Coturnix japonica: one gene and its partners. The protein of the gene in region 3 purifies or fractionates together with the protein of the main gene of each other region. This does not show direct contact. Links are inferred from orthologs where the notes say so. Each region holds a gene or a part of one and is shown on either strand. Other genes may lie near its edges.

Region 1 (3,651 bases), on a different chromosome or scaffold from region 3:
CCACTGCATCCATCACTGCAGCCACACACCTGCAGCTGGACTCAGCACAGAGCCCACCATCCCCAGCTGCTGCTATGGCCGTCTTCTTTCTCATCTCTCACTAAGAGCTTCGTTCCAAAGAATGTTCCCCCTTTGCCAAAATTCCTCCTGACGTTGCCTTCAAGGAAACACATCCTTTTTTAGCAGGCTAGGAGAGGTTGTTGTTTTTTTTTAAAGCAGATTTCTGTTAATGGTTGCTTTAACCCTTGGAAGATGTTGTGAGTGTGGTGTGAGTAAAAATGCTGCAGTTACCAGCCAGACTCGTAATAGGTCGGACCCAATTTGAGTGAATGTGACTGCATCGCTGCCTCAAAACTCAGCTCTGATTTCATCTGTGCTGTAGATTGAGGGGAGGCTGGCAGAGCTCAGTCATTGCTGCTGATGGCTTTGGTGTCTTATTTTGTAGGGAGTCATTTCTTTAGAAATACTGACTCATGGTTAGTGTCCAGCTGTGGGAGTCTGGACAGCAGACCAGCGTGTAAACACTCTGTCTCAAACATTCTTTGGTATGATAAAGTGAAAGCAAAAGCTACAGAGATTTATCATGTTTGTGGTTAAACCTTTTCCAAAGCGGTGCAGTGCATTTCTTTGTGCCTTCTCTGCCAGAAAACTACCACATTTAATGGTAGTTTTGATTAAAGTTTTTCTCCTGCCCAGCAGGAAATGTTGGATCACAAAGAAATAGCAAATCTTGCTGCTTGCAGGGGATTGAAATCCTTGCATTGCGTGGTTGGGTGGCAGGGTTCTGCTGGGATCTGTGTGAAGCAGGAATGCCCTCTCCATGGAACACAGGGTGTGATGGTGCTGCATGCTCTGCATTTCCTTGGTGGAGTCGTTACACTGCCTTGTGTATTCTAGACTAGATTAGAAGCTGAGATTTCAATGCAATGGGGTACCTAACAGAATGCAACAGGGTACCTAACAGGAGGCTGGGAGAAGAGTACTTGTGGTCTCTGGTTGAAACCTCGTTTTGGTTTGTTTTTCATTGCAGCATCACTCACTCTGTACAGAGGATATACGCTATAGAAGATCTGTAAATCCATAATGATCTATACAATATAGAAGATCTGTAAATCCATAATGTATCCTGGAACAGGGATCTGAAGCTGGTCTCTCAGTGTCGTAAACTACCTCCCTTAAGCTTCAGGCAGTTTGGGATGTGAAAGCGTGGCTATGAAAGGAATGTTGCATCTGCCTCTCTCATTGTCACTATCAGATTTTGAAATATGTTGATTTATTTCCCTTGTGAAATGAAAATCCCTTCATAATCTTGAAAATTGTGCAGGCAGGATGGCAGAATGGAATCCTGTCCAGTGCTTGCCATGATGTGACGGATAAGGGCAGGTAATACTTGCCCTTGGGAAGTTGAAGATAACTTCTCAGAAAGGGTCTTTTTTCTTCCCCTTCAGATTTGTCACGGAACAGACTGTCGGAGCTTCCAGCAGAAGCATGTCACTTCGTTTCCCTCGAGAGCCTTAATTTGTACCAGAACTGCATTCGATACATCCCAGAGGCTGTTTTGAACTTACAGTCTTTAACGTTTCTAAATATCAGGTAACAACTGCCTTAAAATTTTTGCTTCAGCATCACTACTCTAAGCTGACAAGTTTGAGTGCTCCCATAAATAATAGACATGGTGTGTCATTATCGCATTGTTATACTGTATGCATTTGAAACAAAGCAGCCTGAACCAGCCTCACCCTCCTTTGGGGGGGTGGATTAGGGAATATAGGGATTAAGCTGGAGCTTGTAGAAGTGAAGTATGAAGAAGGAAGCTAATTCCAGTATAAGGTACTTACAGAGGAAGTTCCAGTGAGGTCCATGGGAAATACAGGTATGTGAACTGAAAGAATATTGTTGGATAGGCCATGAAATTCAGATCTGGGTACCTGAATGCTGATGGAATGCAATAGCTCTGTGCTGCGTTTTGTTTTGAAGGAGAGTCTTTTTTCCCTTTTAAAATCATTCTTATCCTGCGTGATTCTCATCTGAGGTCACAGTCTCATCATATGACCCCCTATTTGCTTTAATAGTAGTGTGTTGTGAAAGGTACAGATTGGATTTTGGAGCAGCCAAATTCATCGTACCAAGATTCTCGATCCATGTGATGTGCTGAATATTTCAAGTATATTTCTAATCAAGTGTCTAAGTGACTTTATCTGTGGCGTTTATTATACACTCACCTGCAGTGCTGCCTCTTTGCTGGCTTTTGGGTGGCAAGTTTTCAGCAGCACCTAAAAGGTCCCAGAAATGTTGTGTTCCCCAACACCAAGTTCAAAAGCATCAAGACACACTTGGTACTTGATATTCAGAGCGTGCTCAGCCACAGCTGGATAAAGCAATGCTGCTTCAAGGAAATGTGAAGACTTTATGCAACTCATTTTACAATAATTATACAGAAACTGAGTTGATAAACAAAACAGTGTGTGCTTTTTGTGTGTTAAGACGAGAGGTGGCTTCTCATGGCAGTTCTGATGATCTGGTTTTCTTTCTGTCCAAAAAGTCGAAACCAACTTTCAACGTTGCCAGTACACCTCTGTAGTCTACCACTAAAGGTTCTGATAGCGAGTAATAATAAGCTGGTCTCCATACCTGAAGAAATTGGACAGCTCAGACAGCTGACAGAGCTCGTGAGTATACAGTTATTTTTTAACTATCACTACTTAATCTTTAATTTAAGGGATTTAATTAAGTTAATTAAATCAATTTAATTTGATATGTTTAAGAGGTTCAGATGTGCTTCAGATAAGCTGATGAAAACTGCTCAGTCATTAAGATGCTCTCTGGGGATGTGCATGATGAATATTCTGTTTCTCATTCTGCTGAGAACTTTGTGATGGTAAACCAGTCACTTGTGTGCAGTAGCGACTTAAATCTGCTTTTGGCCTAAAAAGGGTTTGTCTCTGCCTTAGTATCTCCTGCTATGTCAGTGCAGAGGGCACTAACTCTTTACTCGTGCTTTGTAGGATGTGAGCTGTAATGAAATACAGACAATACCTCCACAGATCGGCAATTTGGAATCCTTACGGGACCTAAATGTCAGAAGAAATCATTTGGTGCATTTACCTGAAGGTGAGATTAAGACTGTCAGCTGTAGCAGCTGAAACTTGAAGCACTTCTGTATTTTAATGTCTTTTTATTCCTGTGAGTACCAGTAGCAGATACATTTAATTATTCGTAAAATAGATGCATGGAATTTTATGTACTTCTGAATCTGCTAAATTAAATACTTATTTTCTACTTCCAGAGCTCGCTGAGCTGCCTTTGATTCGATTAGATTTCTCCTGCAATAAAATAACAACAATCCCAGTTTGTTATAGGAACCTCAGACATCTGCAAACCATCATGTTAGAGAACAACCCTCTCCAGTCACCCCCTGCACAGGTAAACTGCGGCTGGGGAATCAGATGACTAGTTCAATTAAAAAGGGTGGAACAAAAAGCTGAAGGATTGTGTTAGAACCTTTACTTAAGAGCAAGAGCGCTTCAAATAACTTCTTTTCTGAAAGTGTCAAACATTCAGCCCGGCTGGAAAAATCCATTTTTCTTTTATTTATCGCATTAGTCTCACTTGTGGCTTTATATGAAAAATTCCCCTGTTAGCACTGTGCTA
Region 2 (3,651 bases), on a different chromosome or scaffold from region 3:
GTGGCAGTGGCTGTAGAACAGCTGTTGGTGGGCAGCCTGCAAGCTGTGGTTCCCTCATACCTCCTTTCTTTCTTTGCAGAGTGGTCGACATGGGGACACCAAAGCCTTTTCGCAAGTAAGTGTGTTTAAAACTGTTTGAACTTCACTGATTTGATTGACATTTTAGTTGGTTATGAAGTAGAATGCAGCAGTGTTCATTGTTCTGAGCCAGTGTTCTTAAGTAACACGTGGATGAAATGGAACACCTGTGCATGGGACAGGTGGAGCAGGTAGTATGCAGATAAACCCTTTGATAAGCCCTAATGTTAGAAGGAGATTTATGAAAATACTGCAAGAACAGATATTCACTTAGTTGTTCTGTGAAGGGCTTAACATTCTTGTGGCTTCAGACATCTAACAGCTTATTGGAGAGCGTATTTGTGTAATGCTTTACAACTGCTATGTGTACTTTGATTCTTCTTTCTTCCTTGTATCCATGCCTAAAGTGGGAGTGATGCAGCATATTTTTTCTCCTTAGGGTGGACAGCGTTGGTTTTGCAGATGTACAAAGTGAAGATGAGCTGTATGACTTTGATATGGACACAGACCCTCCCAACTGGCAGCAGCTTGTGAGCCGAGAAGTGCTGATGGGGCTGAAACCTTATGAGATCAAGAGGCAAGAAGTGATTAATGGTGAGATGCAGTACCAAACAGAAAGTTGAAATCTAGTCCTGCATGTGTTTGCAAGTTCATACTTCTGACTTGTATTTAGTTCATATTTGAGCCTATATTGTCACACTTCTTTAAGTCAGTGGCTATAATCCTGCCTTTCTCTCTTCAGAGTTGTTTTACACTGAGAGAGCTCACGTCCGCACCCTGAAGGTTCTGCATAACGTTTTCTACCAGCGTGTCACCCGGGAAGGGATCCTCAACTCCAGTGATAAAAAGAAGATCTTTTCAAACCTGGAGGATATCCTGGGGCTTCATGGTAAGAGTGGCTGAGGTGCTTCTTGGCTTCACAATCTGAGCTGGAATTCAGGGTACAAATATCTGAGGAAAAATTGACACAGGTATCCTGAAACAAGAAGCAGCCTCATGCAGCACTTCCCCTTTCCACACACAGTCTTCCCCTTTCTGATTTGCAAAGATACTTTGAAGAGCACATGTGCTCAGTAGTTCAGCTCATCAGTGTACACAGACTGTTGTGCTCATTCATGTTTGTCAAAAACAGCAGTGCTTTGATGAATAGCCTTTGTAGGGTAATGTTCAGAAAGTTACAGCCGTCGATGAGGAAAACATGAAAAAGCCATGGAAGGATTGATGTCTTGCAGGTGGTTTTGAAGGGTCACTGTTTCTAATTGTTTACAGAAAGGACTGTTCAGAATCACATTTCTGGCTCTGTCAATGAATAATCAGTGGTAATTTGTAGGCAGGTGGTTTGAAGCGTGTTCTGAATGAGCCGTGGGTTTTTAAAAGGTCAGTGAGGTTGAGCCTCATATAAGACGAGACTGGAAAGATTCTTGCAGGTCAGTTAAAGGCAGGAGAGCCAGAAGTGCAAAGGAGGGATATGACATTTTCTTAGATATTCTACTGAATTCATTGCATCACAGGACACTTTTTTAAATGTAATTGAAATCATTGCAAGTTTGGTCTTTTCTTAGAAGTTTTACTTTAAAAGAAACTGAAAGTAAGGAAAATGAAGCACAGAACCTGTATTAATAAAATGTTCTTTTTTTTTTTTTCTTTGTTTCTAAGTTGCATTGAATGATCAGATGAAAGCGGTCCGGAAAAGGAATGAGACTTCTGTTATTGACCAAATTGGGGAGGATTTGCTTTCTTGGGTAAATTCCATTTTTCTTCTCGAAAACATGTTTCAGAAAATGGCCAATAGTGTCAGGGGTTAATGAAGGTAATTCCCAGCTAATGGGAACTGAAGGTCTGAGAGCTGTTATTTGTGTGGAGCCAACAAAGAGGTAGGGGAAGAGGTTTAGAGAAAAGCGGAGGCAGCTCAAAGGGTTTTCATTTGACAAGAGGTCTAGAAAAGAAGAAGAAAACGTTCCTTTTGATGCATTGGTAAAATAGAAACATAGCTTTGAAGGTGTAAAACGAGAGCAGGATGTAATAGCTCAATTTACTGCGCTAATATTGAAACAAGCCTCGCATCACTTTTGATACAGTTAAAGATATTCGAAAATCATGATTTCCAGTTATAGAATTTGCATAGCTGAGTCTCTTCAAACTGATAGCGCTATTTGCAGGCTTTGTTTCAAATTTGAGATCCAACTGATGGGAGCAGGAGTGAAAATCTCTTTGGCTTTTTTTCTTTAGCCTCTCCTGGGAGTCTCCTGTTGTGTTGTTTGTTTTCAAGCCTGCTTAATATGGGATTGAAGATTGATCTGCTTCTTCTTTTCAGGCGTTCATGCGGAAGTCTCTTGTGATTTATATTTTTGTAATCCTGCCATTTCTTAGTATCCCAGAAAAAAAAGGGAGGAAAATGAAAATCAGATGTGGCTGGTAGTGAAAAATCCTCTTCTAGTTCTCCCCTGTGTGTTGTGAAGAGCGAAAAATAGCTTGTGCATTCGTTTTTGAACAAGCTAAAGCAAGCTAGACATTACAAGTGTGATCGTTACATGTCCCTGACTGGTGGCTGGTTAAGTGGCTAAAACACAAATATTAAACTAAAATCTCATTCTCCAGAGTGAGTATTTTCAGCAGTTGGTTTTGCTGCATTGCCAATTGGGCAGTAGGGATGGGGAAGAGTTGCAGTGACAGTGGATCTGTCTGTCATCTGCGGCACATTTCTCAGCTCTGCTCAAGGCTGTTGTTTTCCCCAGCCATGTTTCTGTGTTTCTATGTTATATTCTTGTCCTTAAGCATGGCTAATCCTGGAGGGAGCAGCCCCTTTGGTCTTGGCTTTGCTGCCCAGAGTCTGGTAAATAATCACTGATCATTCATCCAAATGCTGTTTTTGCACTTCTCTTACAGCCTATAGCGAGTGGCTGTATTATCTCCCTGAATCTGCAGTGCATTTGTAGAGGGAACTGGGAATGCTGGGAGTGGTGGCAGAAGAGCTGTAGGGTTTTACACATAGCAGGGCTTCTAAATAGGCTGGACGAACAAAGACTTAAAAACAGAATGTTTAAGATACTGTATTCCATGGAAGCAACTTCTTAGATATAAAACACAAATGAATGGCAGGAAGCTGTGCCATGGGAGGTTCAGGCCGGGCATTAGGCTTCCTACCAAGGTGGTTGATATCCCCAGGCTGTCTGCATTAAAGGGGTATTTGGATAATGCCATCAATGACATGATTTGATGACCATTGTAGGTCTCCCCTCTTCCTCCTTTTTGCTACTATTCCTCCCTTCCTTTCTGAGACCAGCGGTGCTAGTGGCTTTATATCTGTTAACAGCAGCTCATGCTGAAGTTGGGTCTGTCTAATTTTGACTTTCATGACTTTCTGGCACAGTTCAGTGGAGCAGCAGAGGAGAAGCTGAAACACGCCACTGCCACGTTCTGCAGTAACCAGCCCTTTGCTCTAGAGGTCATAAAGTCCCGTCAGAAGAAGGACTCTCGTTTCCAGACTTTTGTGCAGGTGAATTTTATGCATGGCTTTGAGCTGCTGGTGTGGGATAGTGAAGGGCTTTAGATTAAGTTGTTACAGTTAATGAG
Region 3 (3,651 bases):
ACAGACTTGCGAAAACATCTCATATAAACTGCCTTACGTTTACAGCATTGATGGTCTGATAAAGGTCCGTACCCTGAAAAAGAGACTTGATAAGTTTAATGAAGTAGTAAGCGCTCTGAAGGAGGGGAAGGCAGAGACAAGCAAGCAGATCAAGGAGCTGGAGCATTCAATCGATGCTTCAATGACCAAAATTAAGGTATGATATTAATCAGAAAAATAGAAATCTTCTGAGAACTTAATTTAAAATGTCAAAGTACTTAATTTTTTTTATAGGAAAGACATTTAAATATAGAAATATAATTTGTTTTCAGAGTGAGTGAACACTACTACATCTTGTTTAAATTGTTTGTGAATATTACTGAAGTAAACCTGACAACTTATACTTCTTTTTCCTAATAAAATTTAGACAACTTGGTTATCGTCATGATATATCCTTAAAATGGTCAGAAAACATCCCATGTCACAGCTTTATTAGTATGCATCCGTGTGTAAGGTGAAATTGGACTGTAGCTGTCAGTGAAATTTGAAAACATGTAGTGAAGGCAACAGCTTTAATTTTATTTATTTATTTATGACACATTGATTATCAGTAACTTTTTTTCTTAAATCCACTAGTCAGAATGTGGTCCATAGAAAGAGTTATTAAATTTATTTTGTAGTGTGACATAAAAGACAGTGGTAAATATCCACTAAGAACACATCAGAAAAGTATGAGGTTATTAGTTTTCATCTCAGGATAGTAAAAATTAATTTCTGATACGGAATGGCAAGGTTTCAGAAATTAATTCATGTTTCGAAGAAAATTCATGACTGTTTTCAGTGATAAAATGGAGACTGTTTTTTCTGCCGTTTTGTATAAGGAGAGCAGTGCAACTGCAATATTTTAGGATGGAAGGAGGGATCTGTTTAAGTTCTCTGACCATGCAGTATATGTATAACTTAATTGCAACACTCAAAGCTTTTCATTTTTCAAATGTATTTTTTAAAATACACATCTTTTAAAGTGAATTACAAATGCAAAGGAATATTATCCCTCTCTTGTTATTATAATTTTGCAGACCACAATGATGACTAGAGAACAGATAATGAAAGAATATGATGCTTTAGTTAGAAGCTCAGAGCAGCTTTTGAGTGCACTGCAAAAGAAAAAACAGCAAGAGGAAGAAGCAGAGAGGTTACGACGCATCCAGGAGGAAATGGAAAAAGAAAGAAAGAGACGTGAGGAGGAAGAGCAACGGCGAAGGAAGGAAGAAGAAGAAAGGCGTCTGTGAGTCTTGAATAAGTTGCTGGCTTTAGAATAAGAAGAAAATAGGAAAAGCCCTCAATTAGGTTATTTTTATTATTACTGTGCTTAAAGAGAGTTGCTTGAATTGTGCTTGTGGTGTCCTATTCATTGTTAAAATATTTCTTCTCTTTTCCAAACAATTTTAATGTTAAGTGTAGTCAGGATAGAGTATTTAAAAGATTTTATGATGCAGCTCATGATACAGACAGACTTTCAAAAGTCCTTGACTTTAAATACGGCTTATGTCATAACTCTACAGTCCCTTGGATTGTCATTTAATTTTATGGAGAATGCTTTGGTATTACTTGTTTGCTTGCATTATTTTAGTAACTTATTAAAAGTTTTGATTTCCTCTTTCTCTTGTCTGATAGAAAATCTGAGATTGAGGCAAAGAGAAAACAGGAAGAAGAAGAAAGGAAAAAGAGGGAAGATGAAGAAAAGCGTATTCAGGTAATGTTTTAGCTATGGTTTTGTAGATTCATTTTTGTTTCTTTTTTGTTTTTATTTTTTTTTCGGCTTACAATTTCCACTGAGTCTAATGGCATTATTTTGTGAGTAGGTTTCCAAATTATACAGCAGTGTTGCATTTGGTTCACCTAATACAATCTGTGTAGAAGTAGTGCTATAACTGAATTATAACTACAAGAGGAAGAATGCATAATCTAAATTCAGTTTTCAGATAAGAAAGAATATACATGTGAATGAAACCCATCAAGAAGATTCTGCTGGGGAATTGTTTGTATTAAGCACTTACATTTTCCTTGAGACATAAGAGAGGGTTAAAAGGATAATATTTAAAAGTTTACTAAAATTCTTTTGGTAGTGTTTGCTGACATGGTTGAATGGGAATAGAGAGCAGAATAAGATGTGTGAAAAATTTGTTTGGCATCTTACAACCAGTGTCACTTCAGAGCTACTTTTGATGATCTTTGAAGGGTCATGGCAGTCAGGGAAGGTGCTGAGTTCTGGAAGATGGCACGTGCTACTCCAGTCTTAAGAAGAGCAACGACGAGAATTTGGGAAACCATCAGCCTTACCTCAATTGCTGGGAAGGCATGGGAGCAAATAATTCTGGAAGCCTTTCTGAAATAGTGAAGGTCGAGAAAGTGGTTGAGAGTAGTCAGTGTGGATTTATGAAGGGGAAGTCCTGCCTGACTGATCCAATAGCCTCATCTGATGAGGTGATTGGCTTGGTGAATAATGGGAGAGCAGCAAATGTTACTTAACTCAAATTTAGCAGGGCTTTTAACACTGTTCTTACAAATGTCTTCATAGAAAAAACAGATGGTGTATGAGCTAGGTAAGTGGACAATGAGGTGGATTGAAAAATGGCTCAAAGGTCATGATGGCCAGCTGGCGGCCAGTCATTTAAGCTGTACTCTAAGGATAAATGCTGGGGCCAATACTGTGTAATGTTTTTATTAATGATCTGGATGATGAAACTGGCTGCACTATTAGCAAGTTTGCAGATGATAAAAAACTGTTCTGTAGGCCAGATGGATGTGCTACTATTCAGAGAGATTATGATAAAGAGGCTAGAGAAATTAGTTGACCAGAATATCATAAAGTTCAACAAAGGGATATTAAAAAGAAAAAAAAATCCCTATCTCTGGGGAAGGAATAACCCTATTCATAGACTCATGCTGGAGGAACCTGGTTAAGCATCTCTGCAGAGGAGGCCTTGTGGTTATGGTGAACATAGGGGCTTTTTCAACAAACAAGGCCAATGGCATCCTGGGCTGTGTGAGGGGGAAAGAGCATTGCCAGCACGTCACAGAACGTGAGTGCAGTGTTAGAGAGCCCAGAGCTGAAAATAAGAGAGCTGTGGATGTACTGCATAACTTCAGTTAAGTTTGTCAAGCAGGATAGTGGATTCATCGTCAAGAAGACAATATATGAAGGAGAATGTTTGTGGATTGGGAACATGCTAGATTCCTGATGGAAGTTAAGTAGCTATAATGAGTTGATTTGGTAGATAGAGGGAGAAATTTCAGGAAGAAGAGGTGTTAGCAACGTTCTTTAACCTCACCATTTAGAGATCACTCTTTGATTTCTATTTTGGGTAGTTAGTGCTAAAACTGAATTTGTTTTGTTTGCCACTTGTTATTCATTTGTTTTCTGTTCACAATGGCATTGTGTAGTGACATGCATTAAGGTTGTGGTACATCATATGCTACATTCTTGTTACTTAGGACAGGAGTAATCATCAATACCTTAAAAAATAGGGATATTTTTTTTAAATTGAAAGCCTTCAAGCAGCTTAATACTGCTTAGTTTCTAGTGCAGACTTTTCAAGAGAGGAAGCCTGTGCTTATTGTAGAAGAGTAACCTTTTAACTAGGCCTTAGCTGCAGTGCGCTTGTGGTA

The links.
Region 1: the proteins of MYO6 (region 3) and LRCH3 purify together in Homo sapiens (co-immunoprecipitation; 3 studies listed by BioGRID and IntAct, with this or other methods). This does not show direct contact. The link is inferred for Coturnix japonica from reciprocal best matches to the Homo sapiens genes MYO6 and LRCH3.
Region 2: the proteins of MYO6 (region 3) and ARHGEF12 purify together in Homo sapiens (affinity purification with mass spectrometry; 4 studies listed by BioGRID and IntAct, counting the BioPlex papers as one, with this or other methods). This does not show direct contact. The link is inferred for Coturnix japonica from reciprocal best matches to the Homo sapiens genes MYO6 and ARHGEF12.

The regions. Positions count from the first base shown.
Region 1 is NC_029524.1:13,130,191-13,133,841, forward strand, and holds part of LRCH3 (DISP complex protein LRCH3), read left to right. Parts: intron 1-1,448; coding exon 1,449-1,593; intron 1,594-2,542; coding exon 2,543-2,669; intron 2,670-3,005; coding exon 3,006-3,111; intron 3,112-3,286; coding exon 3,287-3,423; intron 3,424-3,651. UniProt on the Homo sapiens protein: As part of the DISP complex, may regulate the association of septins with actin and thereby regulate the actin cytoskeleton.
Region 2 is NC_029539.1:3,152,212-3,155,862, reverse strand, and holds part of ARHGEF12 (rho guanine nucleotide exchange factor 12), read left to right. Parts: intron 1-79; coding exon 80-115; intron 116-517; coding exon 518-672; intron 673-820; coding exon 821-967; intron 968-1,734; coding exon 1,735-1,820; intron 1,821-3,448; coding exon 3,449-3,574; intron 3,575-3,651. UniProt on the Homo sapiens protein: May play a role in the regulation of RhoA GTPase by guanine nucleotide-binding alpha-12 (GNA12) and alpha-13 (GNA13). Acts as guanine nucleotide exchange factor (GEF) for RhoA GTPase and may act as GTPase-activating protein (GAP) for GNA12 and GNA13.
Region 3 is NC_029518.1:73,396,454-73,400,104, reverse strand, and holds part of MYO6 (unconventional myosin-VI), read left to right. Parts: intron 1-45; coding exon 46-196; intron 197-1,058; coding exon 1,059-1,267; intron 1,268-1,656; coding exon 1,657-1,735; intron 1,736-3,651. UniProt on the Homo sapiens protein: Myosins are actin-based motor molecules with ATPase activity. Unconventional myosins serve in intracellular movements. Myosin 6 is a reverse-direction motor protein that moves towards the minus-end of actin filaments.